Mytilus edulis: one gene and its partner. The protein of the gene in region 2 purifies or fractionates together with the protein of the main gene of each other region. This does not show direct contact. Links are inferred from orthologs where the notes say so. Each region holds a gene or a part of one and is shown on either strand. Other genes may lie near its edges.

The links.
Region 1: the proteins of ribonuclease P protein subunit p21-like (region 2) and ribonuclease P protein subunit p30-like purify together in Homo sapiens (co-immunoprecipitation; 3 studies listed by BioGRID and IntAct, counting the BioPlex papers as one, with this or other methods). This does not show direct contact. The link is inferred for Mytilus edulis from reciprocal best matches to the Homo sapiens genes RPP21 and RPP30.

The regions. Positions count from the first base shown.
Region 1 is NC_092344.1:62,973,047-62,980,260, forward strand, and holds the start of ribonuclease P protein subunit p30-like, read left to right. Parts: upstream 1-4,197; 5' UTR 4,198-4,238; coding exon 4,239-4,317; intron 4,318-5,228; coding exon 5,229-5,311; intron 5,312-5,931; coding exon 5,932-5,991; intron 5,992-6,859; coding exon 6,860-6,934; intron 6,935-7,214. Other genes in the region: cilia- and flagella-associated protein 100-like, read right to left, coding at 632-692. UniProt on the Homo sapiens protein: Component of ribonuclease P, a ribonucleoprotein complex that generates mature tRNA molecules by cleaving their 5'-ends. Also a component of the MRP ribonuclease complex, which cleaves pre-rRNA sequences.
Region 2 is NC_092352.1:3,031,746-3,039,337, reverse strand, and holds the start of ribonuclease P protein subunit p21-like, read right to left. Parts: upstream 3,002-7,592; 5' UTR 2,894-3,001; exon of another isoform or gene 2,886-2,893; intron 1-2,885. Other genes in the region: protoheme IX farnesyltransferase, mitochondrial-like, read left to right, coding at 3,268-3,393, 4,840-5,239, 5,937-6,061, 6,681-6,751. UniProt on the Homo sapiens protein: Component of ribonuclease P, a ribonucleoprotein complex that generates mature tRNA molecules by cleaving their 5'-ends.

The sequences.
Region 1 (7,214 bases), on a different chromosome or scaffold from region 2:
TACAAGTAAATATTCATAACTTTAATATCAACACAATAACTAAATGTTCATTGCACTAAATCATTTCACGAAATACGTCACTACATTATGAAAATAAGCAGATGGTATTCGTGTATGATTGCCAATGAGACAACTTAATAATCCACTTGAGTTCCAATTGATAGATAAGGTGTCAACTGAAAGTGGTCTGTGGACAAAGGAAACCTGGATAGAAAGCTTATCTGCATTATTTTATTGTAAATAGGTAAAGGTCAAATGAAATTAATTTATGTACATGTATCATTAATTATTAATTTAGAAGATGACTTTTTAAATATCAATATGAATTTGTATCTTATTCTTAATGACAAAATTGCAACGTTACTATTAATCTAAGTTACTCTAAGCATTCTTAAAACTGTTTCAGATTATTTTTAGAAAAGCTCAAATATATGCTAAATTCTATTGTTCCAAAATTTATATTCTATCATAACTTGTTTAAGGAATCTTGTTTACGAAAAAGTCCTATGTCTTTACCATGTTTATGATCAAAATTTATATAGGAAAGAATTTTTAAAAGTGTCACTTTTGAAATAAAAAAAAATTGAATATTTTTAGTCAGATTAAACTTTTGAACTAAATAACTACTTACTTGACTTTTTCCCTGAAGCATCTGTGTCAGGAGAAGGGGCACCTGTTGGAGAGTCTGCCATTTTGTTTTAATTCTAAAATATAACCATATAAAACATGAAGTCATCAGTTTTACCATGTTAAAACCTCCTTGAAATCTGTTTTCCAATGGGATTTGTTTGTACATTTTTTTGTACCCTAGCAGCTGCTCTATACAATACAATACAATATCCATTCATTTTTGTTAAAATCTGTACATATCAGACTTATGATTTTTTTAATGTTTTCCCATGATTCATTGCATCAAAGCAAAGAATGAACTCTGTTTCCTAAAAAGTTGGGAATAATGAACAATATGGACCATTTGATTCACATACATGTATCTATTAGAAATTGTTATTTACAACTGCAGTATTTATATCACATGTGTGTACAATGTGTCTCGATATGTGATTGATCTGTAAGTCACAGTTTTAGCTACATACATGTACATGTTGCTCAGCCAAAAAATTATTTACCTATACAAGTTTTAAAATAAAATACACTTGTATAAGTTTCCTATAAATTCATTATAAGCATATTAATATTTACTTCTTCAAGTAAATAAAAATTACTTGTACAAGTAGTACCCTTGACTGGGCCTAAATTAATATATTGTTTGTTTCCCCAATCCCAATCCTGCCAAGCCAGGTGTGGGTAAGTACATGAAGGTAGGGAAATCGTTTAACTTTTTCCAAAAAGCTGGAACAATATCGGTCGATCCCACAATCCTTCAAATTGGAAATGAATAAAATAATATTTTTCAGGGTCAGTCAGGATTGGGGAAACAAACAATATTGTATTTTAGGCCCTGGTTATTAGCATGATAAGTAAAACAACCATGCATCAATGACATTCAGGTAATAAAACATGAAAGATGTGTCAGAACAAAACATTATTACTGAGACTTTAACAGCACAAGCATAGACCTTATCCCTATTTGGAAATCTGTGTGACCATTGCTTGACCCTAGAATCTGCACACCTTGAACTATTGACAATCACATCATTCAACAATATCTTTTCCATTGTTACTTGTAACGTCAAATGTTTTTATTATGACCTCAAATTTTAAAGAAACCTTTGTAAAGTTCAGTAATCATGGTAATGACATACAAATCATAATAAGCAAAAAGGTGTATTGTGACATATGATATTTACAGAAAATGCATGAAATTCAATTAAAAAGTTGTCTTTTTACTTTTAGAAAATAACAAGAATGTGTCCTCAGTACACGAATGCCCCACTCGCACTATCATTTTCTATGTTCAGTGGACCGTGAAATTGGGGTAAAATCTCTAATTTGGCATTAAAATTAGAAAGATCATATCATAGGGAACATGTGTACCAAGTTTGAAGTCGATTGGACTTCAACTTCATCAAAAACTACCTCGACCAAAAACTTTAACCTGAAGCGGGACAGACGGACGAACGGACGAACGAACGGACGAACGGACGAACGGACGCACAGACCAGAAAACATAATGCCCCTCTACTATCGTAGGTGGGGCATAAAAATATAATTTGTAACCTTCAAGAGATCATTTCATAGAATACCTTCTTCTTCCTTTATAGTACAGGCCTTCCATTGGAGTATTATCGTACTGTTTTATGTACATGTTTTTGATTTGGGAACAACAAATGTGCGAGTAAGTGCGGATTATTTACAGTGAAAACGGTGCTTATCTTTAAAATAACGATAAAAACGAGGTTGTACATCTATCGACTATCGAAGCTGGACGGACACTTGCACACCCCTTTTGAATGATTCAAGGGTTGTGCAGCTAACTATGTGTTGTGGCAGTCCATTCCAGATTCTGATGGTATCTGGGAAAAATGAGTGACAATATATTTGAGTCCTGGCAAAAGGAACTAGGAATCGTTCATTGTGTCCTCTTACTGTTGATATTTCTGGCTTTAAATTTGTAGTTGGTACCTGTCGCATAGTATCTGAGCAAGGATTTCTTACTATACAAATCCTAGTCCTATAGTATATGCCTTCGCATTATATATTCACTATTTAACGTTTTCATGCTGATATTTTCATTATACAAATCCTTGATCATCATCTGAGTAATTTCAAAAGTGTATTTAACTATCGTTTATGCTAATAAATAAATTAATTTTATTTAAGTAATATCTGCGTTTACTATGAGGAAAGTACCAAACAAACCTATGTAGGACATTAATGTATTACCTAATGTTAGGATTTGTATACAAATCCTTACTTCAGGCAGAGACATACATGTATAATACAAGAGATTGGCAACTCGGCAAAATCCCGTAATATCACACTGCCAGATTTAAACCTCGCGAGATCTCTTTGGGTAATAGAGTCATTATCAAAGTATTAAAAGTACTTGAAGTAAGGGCGAATGTGTAAGCATAAATTAACTGTTTCAGTGTTAAATTTAGTCTGAGATTACTCTGACGTCCAACAGCAGTTTTGCCAGACAAGCTGGGGCCGTGGGACGTCAGAGCCCGTCCCATATCAAAAAGTGGATATTTGCCCACCCAAAATAGATGCACTGCTTCGTCGCTTTAGGTGCCGACTGACGGCCTCAGAATTATATAAATCGGGCATCAATCTGTCCTACAGCCCCAGCTTGTCTGGCAAAACAGTCGTTGGACGTCAGAGTAATCTCGGACTATGTTAAATTTAACATAATTAAAATTAAATAATTTGAGTTCATACATAATTATTCATTTCAATGTCATTTAATTTTGATTTGTATTATTTATATTATCGAAAAAGAGACATAATTTGATATTGAATTTAAATTTTTTTAAAAAGGATATTAAATAAATAATACTTGATAAATTGTATTATATGGGCCCCAATAACAGTAGAAAAATCAATAAAAAAAATTTTTTTTTTTAAAATCTGGAAAATTTTCCCGAAATTTTTTATTGTACTAACATGACTAATGAACTCAAATTCGTTCAATTTTTTTTTGTCATGTTTTTTAATTTCCGGATCTGCGCAGAACGCAGAAATCTACTTCCTTTTTCCGGTCTTGTTGTCGTGAGACTTTGATTAGTCTAGTAAAATATAGGAACTCATCAAGGAACACAATACCAATATTTAATTTTTAATCATTCTTTGGCTTTGATATGAATAAACGTTACTGTATGCATTGCGTTATTTTGTTTACATTGAACATGACGTCATAACTTAAATAACGTCACAAGTAAAATCCCTAACAACAGAACCAAAATCGGAAACGTTACGGTATTTCCGTTTCTTTTTTTCACAAATATTTTAAAAAGTTACAAAAAAAAAATCATACAGACTTCGTCCCCATTCACAGGTAATGCCTGCCTCATATTATGTCTCTGCTTCAGTTCAGGGTAAACCAATTTCAAATTTTAGCTTGAAAAAAGCAGAAACTACTTGCATGATTTCAAATTTTTATGAGTATTCAAATTAGTCATTCAAAAGAATTATTCATGGGACATTTGTGTTATCATAAAGAGCTAAAGTTACCAATTAATGTAAATTCAGGCACCCACTGTTTACAATTTCCGTGGTTACTAACTCCGGAAGTAAATTTGTATGAGAAGGGGAAATAAGCAATAGTGACTTCCGGAATGGCTAACTTCATGGATTTCAACGTGCAGATTAGCGAGAAGCAACATTTAGCCAAAACACTTGCTATGGCAGCAAAATGTAAATATCATATCCTTGTTAAATCAAAATAAGAAATAAGATTCTTCTCTGGCAAAACTTGTGTGTTTATGAAATCATAGCAACATTACTCCAGTTCAGTTGTCCCGACCTAGTCCAAATAAATTATGTTTTCGAGACGTTTTGGCCATACACCACTTCGGCCTTAGTCGTTTCGACCCATTATTCCCTTTTCTTAATTTCTGTGTCTTTCAATGTTTTGAATAAAAAATAAGAGGTCAGTGTATTTTTACTTTGCATGCTTTGTATGAGATAAGACTGATACATATATATATGAGGGTTTGGATGGGGTTGAATGATTAAAGAATAATGCCCTTAAAAATGAAGATTAGAGAGTAACGGGCAAAAAAATGAAGAATAGAGAAATGCATGGTCTAATTTTTTGAAGATTTGAGAAAAAAGGGGTTATTTTTTTTTAAAGATTAGAGAAAAAAAGGGGTGAAAATTAAATGTTTACAGAATAACAGACCCCCCCCCCCCCCCCCCTCCTCCTTATTTTATTATATTTTACAGTCTTAGCAAAAGGTAATGATGTTGTCCCATATTCTCAAAAATGGTTTACCTTTGATAAGTGATATTGGCCTAAAAATTGTACAATGTTAAACTATGTTAGCTAATATACCAGGCATGGGTTACCTGTCAAAGAGGAATATATATTGATCCATCAGAACAAACATGACAAAAGCATAAATGAAAAAATGACAATAAGACAGCTACCCAGCATCTTTCATTTGCAAGATTTTTGACCTCATCATTTATCTTTTATAACATTGACCAAGGACCAGCATATGAAATATGGCAGCTCTTAATTTTTTAACAAATATATTATTGTTAACTTCTGAATCTTTGAAATATAATAATATGGCAATGTGTCTATTTGAACATTTTAACAGTGGGCTATAGTGTTGCTGCTGTAAATCATTGTGCACCAAGTATAGACAGTATTGTAAAGAAAAAAAAAAAAGACAAAGATTATGTAAGTACTGTAATAAATTTGTATAGATATGTATACACACATGTGTAGACAGTAACAATTGTATATGTATAAAATATATAGATTCTTGTTAGAAAATGATGGATTTGAGAAATGATTCTTTTTTGCATCATTTACATGTAAATATGTCTCGCTGCGACATAGCCTTGTTGTGCTAATACAGCGTAAAGCAACCTACAATCAATGTAAATATATATGTGATAATTAGTGTATCTCAATTTTTTAATGTTTGCTATATGTTGAAAAATATGAATAATCTATCTTAAGATTTTAAAGAACTTGATTGCTAGGAACACATTCTTGATTCTTACCATATGCTTAAAGCATTTATATGTTTAAAAGAAGAAGAAGCTTTTACGTCAATGAGACGGCAACGTAAGGGCAAACAAAAACACCCAAAATTGGATGAAACTCAAAACAAGGATAAGAAACACACCAATTCTAACTGGCAATTATAACAGTCATCTATTTTGTAATGTTTATGCATTGTTCAGAAACAGATGCATATCATATGAATGTTTCCCATAGCACACTGTCAGAAGCAACATCTATTCTATAATTATTTTATATTACACTTTATTTTTCTTTTTTCCTTTGTGTAGCATGCAATTCCATTACCAGAAACTTTGAAAGTTGATGCAGAAACTTTAAAGAATATCATGGTGAGATATTTAGTTGAAATTCTGTGAAGACATCTCATTTTTGGTTGCCTGCTGCTCTGGAATTATTTAAGATTTCCTTACACTCAAGTATGTGTCTAAGAAATTTGAAAAGACAAAAATGATATGGGATGTACATGATTCTTGTAAAATCATTTTTTGTACCCCTCACCCATTTTCTCAAAATTTTGGCTAGAAAGACTGTCAGACTTGATTAATCGTAAAATTTGAGAACTGAATTACACAAAAACCATTCATTATAAATACACAATTTTTTCACAGAGTTATGTTTGATTATAATATTTTTAAAATTCATTGATATTTTCCTCTACAAGTATCACATGTTTAGGAAATAGTTCCTGAACGAGATTTCAAGGAGACTCAAACCTCAGAAGAATATGTCCTTAAGAATGAAATGAATACATTAAAAGTGGAATATAAATCACCAATAAATAATATAACAGATCACATCAACCACCAAATCCTAACCACTACAAGACAACAGATATACAAAAAAAAAAAAAAAACTTTGATCAATGCATATTCCAGGTAGCCTAACATTCTGACTTTAACAGTGCTTAATGAAAAATGACAATAAAATCTTTAGGGTAGGCTATTTTTAAGCCGAAAAAGTAGGGACGGTAGGGTTACTGGAACAACACATATATTTTTATTTGGCCTTACAAGCATCATTTCCGAAATTAGGTGGATTCAAATTGAAATCATTTTAAGAATACACCAACCTCTTATAAATATCTATCTAGACTGTATGTTTTTACACTATAAAAAAAGTCGGCTCAAGAAAGTTACAAACAGGATGACACTAAAGTCCAGAATTGGAAATTATGATAATATAAACATTGCTTTTCAGGCAGGAACAAAAAAATTCAGACAGTTATCAAGATTTAGTACCATAATGGAAGATGTTGCACAGCTACAAAAATTAGTAAGTTTAATTAATTCAATAGTATATATATATAGATCTCAATCGACTGACCATTAAAATCATTGACCACAACTCTGCTTGGTCTAAGGAGGATAGACTTGCTCTGGAAAGATTTTGGATCAGAAAATTAATAACTTTGGCACCAAATGGGATAAATTAAAAGGTGTAGTTCGACTCCGTGTAGTGCTTCACATTTGGGTTATATTACTTATTATTACAGTCTCTGTTTCTTTTTCTTAACCTTTTTCATTTATTAAATAAATTTGTTGAAGATACCAAT
Region 2 (7,592 bases):
TCCTTATTTTGATTGGTCAATTTGTTACCTGGATACAGGACGCTCTTATATATTTCTTTGTTTCGGGATTCGCGGTACATTTGAAATTTTTCATTGAAATTATTTATTTTGTAAAGTTAAAAAGGGGCGCATTCTACCCATTACTTATAAAGAGTATCAAAATAAGCTTCGATATTTAATACAAAAAACAGGTCGTAACTCTTTATTTTACTCTACTCATAGTTTTAGAAGAGGGGGGGCAACTTTAGCTTTTCATGCTGAGGTTTCTACGGAATTAATTCAACTTCATGGAGATTGGCATAGTGATGCTTATAAAAAGTATTTAGAATTTACTTTGGAACAGAAACTTCAAGTTTCGCAAATGATGTCGAAGAGTGTTTCCTTGTTAGGTTACTAATTTATATCGTTTCTTTGTAGAACCAGGAACTTTTCTGATAGTGTCAGACTCAATTGCAAAATATGTGAAGCTTGAGAATGCGGATGTTTATGCGTTTCGGGGGGCTTCCATTGGAGAAATAACCTATCAGCTTAACAAGAACAAGGGGAGTATTTATGGAGGTTATAAATGTTTAGTTATTCATTGTGGTACCAATGATATTCATATTTTATCTATTGATCAGTTTAAGTCTGCCTATTGTAATTTAATTTCTACCGCCAAGTTATTGTTTCCTTCTATGGTTATTGCTTTGTCTGGTATTCTTCCTCGTCCTGTTGATTTTGAGGAAACGGGTAAGAAGATAAAGGATGTTAATATGGCTTTGTTAAATTTATGTTTGAGTTATGAAGTCGAATTCATTCATTCGTATAGATGTTTTTTGAAATGTGGAAAGCCAAAGGTGGAGCTATTTGCCTATAAAGATGGTGGGTTACATCTCAATTGTGAAGGTACAAGGCAGTTAGGTTTATATTTTAAAAGAAGGGTTGCTCATTTAATTTAGATAGGTTAACTTGTCATTTGAGATGAATTTCTTAAGTGGAGTTAAAGGATTAGATATGGTTGAATTTCATGTTTCTACCATACTTCCTTTGGGGTTTTTTTAGTTTATGGTTGATATTATTTCTTCCATACTAAAATTTGGATTATTTTTTATTTTATTTTCCTTAATATGTATTGGTATTATTTAAGATTGTTTGGTTAAGATGTAGTTAGGTTTATTTATATTAATATGTACTAATATTTTTATTTTATATTGCAGGTAAGGGACTCTTTTCAGTGAGTATTGTTCACACTGTTGGGTGCGGTTTCTTTTCATATGAGATATTGTTTCTTGTATGGAGAAAAGTTTATGTTCAGGGTTGATATTGTTTCTTCCTTGCTTGCTTTTATTATTTAGTTTTTGCTTGATATTATTTCTTGCATGCTAGATTAACAAGCTAAATTGTGTATTGTTTATATGATAGTTAAAATTAATCTGCTTAATTCTTTGTTCAGCACAGTTGTTTGTTTATTTTTTGGCGGCCGTTGGCTTGGCGGCTAGCTCATGTGTTTATTCGAGCTGTTTGGATGAATTTATTTATCATTTCTAATGGCTAGACGCTATATTTGCTCTTGAACATTAACTTTACATGTTATATGTGACTGTCAGTGGTACAGTCGAGTGTTTGTCCTGTGCTGTGAAATATATCTGTTTGTCTTGTGTATATATTGTGCCGTAATAAAATTGAGTAACTTAGATTTCTTTTGTGAGAAGCCTGGTAATTGTGTAATTTTTGATTTTATAAAAATGGATAATTACCACATGAATCACTGTTTACATTTACTCGGAAGAAATTGTTCCGAGTATTCCTTATTTTGATTGGTCAATTTGTTACCTGGATACAGGACGCTCTTATATATTTCTTTGTTTCGGGATTCGCGGTACATTTGAAATTTTTCATTGAAATTATTTACCCTCCCACCCGCCGCATACAACTGTGTTAGTTATAAATTTTAATGTATTTTGTGTACTTAGTTTTAAGATGTGCTTGTGTATACTGTGGCTAGCTCATGTGTTTATTCGAGCTGTTTGGATGAATTTATTTATCATTTCTAATGGCTAGACGCTATATTTGCTCTTGAACATTAACTTTACATGTTATATGTGACTGTCAGTGGTACAGTCGAGTGTTTGTCCTGTGCTGTGAAATATATCTGTTTGTCTTGTGTATATATTGTGCCGTAATAAAATTGAGTAACTTAGATTTCTTTTGTGAGAAGCCTGGTAATTGTGAAGCTTTTTAGGTCGTTCACTGCGCTCATGCACTTACCAAAAAGGTTCACATTGTATCTAGCAGTTGATATCTTGCAATATCAATATGTAGAAAACCTGATAATATATATACATATATGTCTATTTTAAAATCTGTGCAGGTTGACCCAGAGAATCTGCGACAGTTGAACTATTGATGTCATAATACACCTTATCGCTATTTGTCCGGTGTTACTAGATATCACACAGGTTCCTGTAAAATTTTGACATCATAAAACAAAATATCTGACGCCAAAATGGAAAAGTGATTGTTGTATGCATCAAAAGTTCAGCCGGGATTGGCGATAAGCCGTATAAAACAACAATAATTTTTCCATAATGTAAATGGCATCAGATATTTTGTATTACGTCAAAATTAATGAGAACATGGGTCCAGTTATGCTGGACAAATAGCAATAAGGTGTATAACAAGAAAAATAAGATTTATTAAAACAAATAAAGTAGTAGTATTGCTAATAAACATGATAAATTTTTGTTTTCATCATATTAATTTTTAATTTTATGCAGGAGAAAAATACTATCATGATAGCCTAAAGCAATATTTTTTTCTGGTGAATTTTTGTTATGATATGTTTTATAGATAGGCATGATAAGGGTGGATAAACTGTCAGTTTCAGAAACTTCAAAATTTTGTACACTTCAACCTTGACTTGTCTTTTTCAACTGTTTTCCTTTTTTAGCATTTTCCACAAGGTTTGACTAATACCAAATTGAATGTTCCGTTTTATATACATTTTTTTAACATTTTAAAAGCATGTAAAAAATGTTTGGTTGTTGTAGATGATGTGTTCGAAACTTCTTATATACATTTATCTGAATGGTCATTTCAAAATAAAATATTGTTATGTAAAGTTTGATTTTTTTGGTAACAGGATGAACCTTCACAGGGACAACATGAAACCACTCAACAGCAAAAAGAAACCGTCTCGATAAACTACGTTGTTTTATATTATAAATAACAAAATGTAGCTTTTAGATACATCGTAAACTTGAAAATGACTTTAATGTAACGATCGATATGCATATAATGAAAGTAGGATGGAGTGTTGGCAAGAAGAAGTTATTTCAACTGCAAATGTCAACAAAGTCATGCATGTCACATCTAGAGGTTACACAACGTGTAAAGTCTTCGTGGAGTATACAAGTATGTTTAATGTCGTTTTCATAAAATTTTTGCATTTATGAAATTAGTCATATTTGTGAATTATTAATTTTTTAGCTTTTTTACACATGTTAGACTGTAGTCATTCATCCTGTTCATTGTCAAATATTAGTGGGCTTGATCCCAGTTTATAAACATAGTTCAAAGTGGACGTAGTATGTCTTTTTAGGTACATATAATTATACATGTATATATAAACATTATTCGTCATTGTGCGAAGTGCTCCTTTGAAGGAGGGATTTTCTCAAACAGAACAGAACAGAACAGTGGGTAACACGAATGACCGAATAACACTGATATTATCCGAATAACACTTGTAATGACCGAATAACACTTGAAATTTTAATATAAGCACATATTTGTGACTTTTAAACATTGATTATTAAATAATAATATATTATCAATGTATTTTATAACTTACAAATGCTTTGCAGAAAACAGACAAGTTCATAGAAAACTTTTTAAATTTAGTGTGTTTAGTGGAGGTAAAAATAGTGTGGAAAATTCGGGAACACATCATTTTACAGAGCAGTTGCTTAGAAACATGCTTAGGATTTCCCACACTTTCATACTATTTCCACCTCTTTCCTAAAAATCTGCCCCCTATCCAATATGGCCGAACTAATCGTGAAGAGCCCTATTGGGGCACCTTCATGACGAACAATGGTAAAAATTCTTGTCAAACAACGTTAACAGTAATTTTAGGTGCATAACGATAAAATATCAACTTGTTTTGGTGAATCACATTAACAAAATTATTTTAGGCCGAGCTGACAAATTATGATAAGAATATTTTGACGACGCACAGTAAAATTTTAAACAATTTGTCGCTTACTATAGCCAAAAATGACTGTTTGACACCTGACGGTAAAGGGCATTCCTATCCTCATTCACGAGTCAACCAGCACAGATTTCCAAATAGAAATATAATATGGTGTATATATGTAATCAAGTAATCGTTGGTTTTATCTAACAATACTTGTATACTCGCTCAGAAATATACCAACACGGAAACACAAAGTTACATACTTTACATTCTGTGGATTGTTCTTTAATTCATTTGCAATTTTACTATACATAAACCATAAAAAAAATAGATTGAACTGAGATGCTCTAGAAGAGGTAGAACTTATATATATATCTTGTTACTCATGATCATTGCAAGCAAAATCTGTAATAAATTGTATTCAGCAATATCATGAACAATATAAGATGACAAGAGATAAGATAATATATATTCCTGGTCATCCTTGATATCAATGACCAGTCAATCAAATCATGATGACCAATAAACTGTCACATGACTGTTAAACCTTTATTTAAATAAATGCATTTTGAATTGTACCTGTGATTCCAATACTAAACAAAATGTATGTGTGTATACATATATATTACAATTATCACATGATTTATGTTTTATTGTTACAGTTAGCTCAAAGGACAGCTTCATCCAAAGCACAGAGGGTGTTTAAAGAATCAAACCATGTTGAAGAAGAGAGAATAAAACCAGATATGACCACTGTCCATCAATCTATCCTTAATCAGGGATTATCGTTACATCATAAACATTCTAGCACACTCCTTCATCTAAATGAAAACTTACTCGATATCAATGGTGTACAGTTACAGGATACTGTTAGAGATAATCCAAAATGGCTGACTCCAGAAAAACTTAAACTTATACAAAATGAATTGAAACGAGACAGAAAGGCAGAGAGCCCAGCAAGTAATATAGAATCACTTGTAGATTGGACGTGGCATGAACAGAAAGTTGATTATTCTAAACTCTTACACCATTATTTAATGTTATCAAAGATCAGATTAACAGGTAATATAGAATCACTTGTAGTCCCTTTGTGACATATACAGTCATGATAGTGTATGAATGTTATTTTAAAATTATAAATATATTATAGAACTGTTTTAGCAATAGCCAAGTCCTTATTGATATTATTAGAACTGAACCATTTGTAAATTCAATTGGTTTGCATATTTGTTGTTAAATATACAATGATATAGACCCATACAGTTTATATTATGGACCTTTAACGATATTAAAAGCTTATGTTTTTCGCATATATGTATCTTTTGTACTAATATTTTGTAAGAAAGTGTTTAGATAAATGTCTTGTTCATGTGTAATTATAGATTATTGTTGATCATCTCAACTTTCTTGCTTGAGCCAGTACGGCGAAAGCGAGAAAAGCAATCGAGTTGAGATGATCAATGGTAATCTGTTTATCGCTATTTTGCCTATGACGACGTTGTCAATTTCATTAGCAACGCTACACGCCTCCTGAGTTTCTAGCCATAATTTTCCATCTCAAGCGAGTACATGAAGCATGATATGAAAAATTATCACAAAAAAAATTAAAGGAAAAATGCACAAAATAGCGATAATTCATTGTTTCCGGACTGGTTGTATTAAAACAGTTTTGATTGCTAGTTTTGTTCATGAGTAATGTGTTTTTTTCAGGACTGGTTGTATTTTAATATAGATCATGTGTATGTATTATTTATTTTAGGACTAGTTGTATTAACACAGATGGCAGGTTTTGCTATAGCACCAGGTGCATTTGACCTTTGGACTTTTATGTTTGCCACTGTGGGTACATCTCTTACCTCAGCTTCAGCAAATGCCACTAATCAGGTACAGTATATTATAGTCCTAGGCCTCAAGGGTTAACTTTTTTATGAGATTTTGTTCCTACAATCATATTTTAACCCAACATCCCTGTTGATCAACCACCAAATTACCAGTAAAACAGTTTCATTCATACTTTAGTTTTAAGCAGTTGTGTTGGTGTATTTATGTGAAGGATTTTAATTATTTAACTTTGAAGTGCTCAGATGTGTTGGTGATTAGTACAATGGCCTTCTATAATATTACTAGGTGCCTCATTGGCTAAGTGGTCTTAGTAGTTCTACTACTGTTATCACTAGCCATTCATCACAGAAATTGCGAGTTTGAACCCCACTTGTGCAAGTGCACTCAACTTAACTCAAATCTTAATTGACTAGGATTGTCAGTTTTCCTATGAATAACTGTCAAAGGTTGTTGTTTTCTCTGGGCACTCAGGCTTCCTCCACTAATAACAACTGGCCACCAAGAAATAGCCCAAATATGTGCTAAAAAGTGGTGTTCAAACACCAACAATCAACATAATATTATTACATGTATAGCACTTAATGATTTCGATTTTCATAAGGTCACAGATAATTATAGATTTTATTGTAACAATGGAGTAATATTTATGTTTATATTGTAGTTTTTGGAAGTCCCATATGACTCACAGATGAACAGAACAAAAAATAGAGTTATTGTAAGAGGATTTTTAACGTGAGTTTAATTTTAAGAGTACAGGTTCACCATTTAACATCAACATACATGGTCCCCAGGGAAGTCCAATTTCTAAATGGAGTACCCACTAAAAAAGGTAAATTTGGAATTGTGCATACATTTTCACACTTAAAAATGAGAATGGAAATGGGGAAATGGGGAATGTCAAAGAGACAACAACCCAACCATAGAGCAGACAACAGCTGAAGGCCACCAATGGGTCTTCAATGCAGCGAGAAACTCCCACACCGGAAGCATCCTCCAGCTGGCCCCTAAACAAATATGTACACTAGTTCAGTGATAATGGACATCATACTTAACTCGGAATTATACACAAGAAACTAGAAATAAAAATCATACAAGACTTACAAAGGCCAGAGGCTCCTGACTTGGAACAGGTGCAAAAATGTGGCTTGGTTAAACATGTTTTTTGAGATCTCAACCCTCCCCCTATACCTCTAGCGAAAAAACAAATGCACAGTAAAACTCAGTTTAAGAGAAGTCCGATGTCAGAAGAAGTAACAAAAAAGAAAATAAACAAAATGACAATAATACATATAACAACAGACTACTAGCAGTTAACTGATATGACAGCTCCAGACCTCAATTAAACTGATTGAAAGATTATGTCTTCATCATATGAATATCAGGCACAATCCCTCCCGTTAGGGGTTTAGTATTATACCATCATAAATATATGAAAAAAACATAACCCGTGTCATGCCAACAACTAGTTTTAAAATAAATGTGTTTAATTCCAATGCAAAGACCCTATCAGTGAATCAATATTAAAGCCAACATATGCAATCCTTTAATGACCTGACAACAGTATCTTAATAAC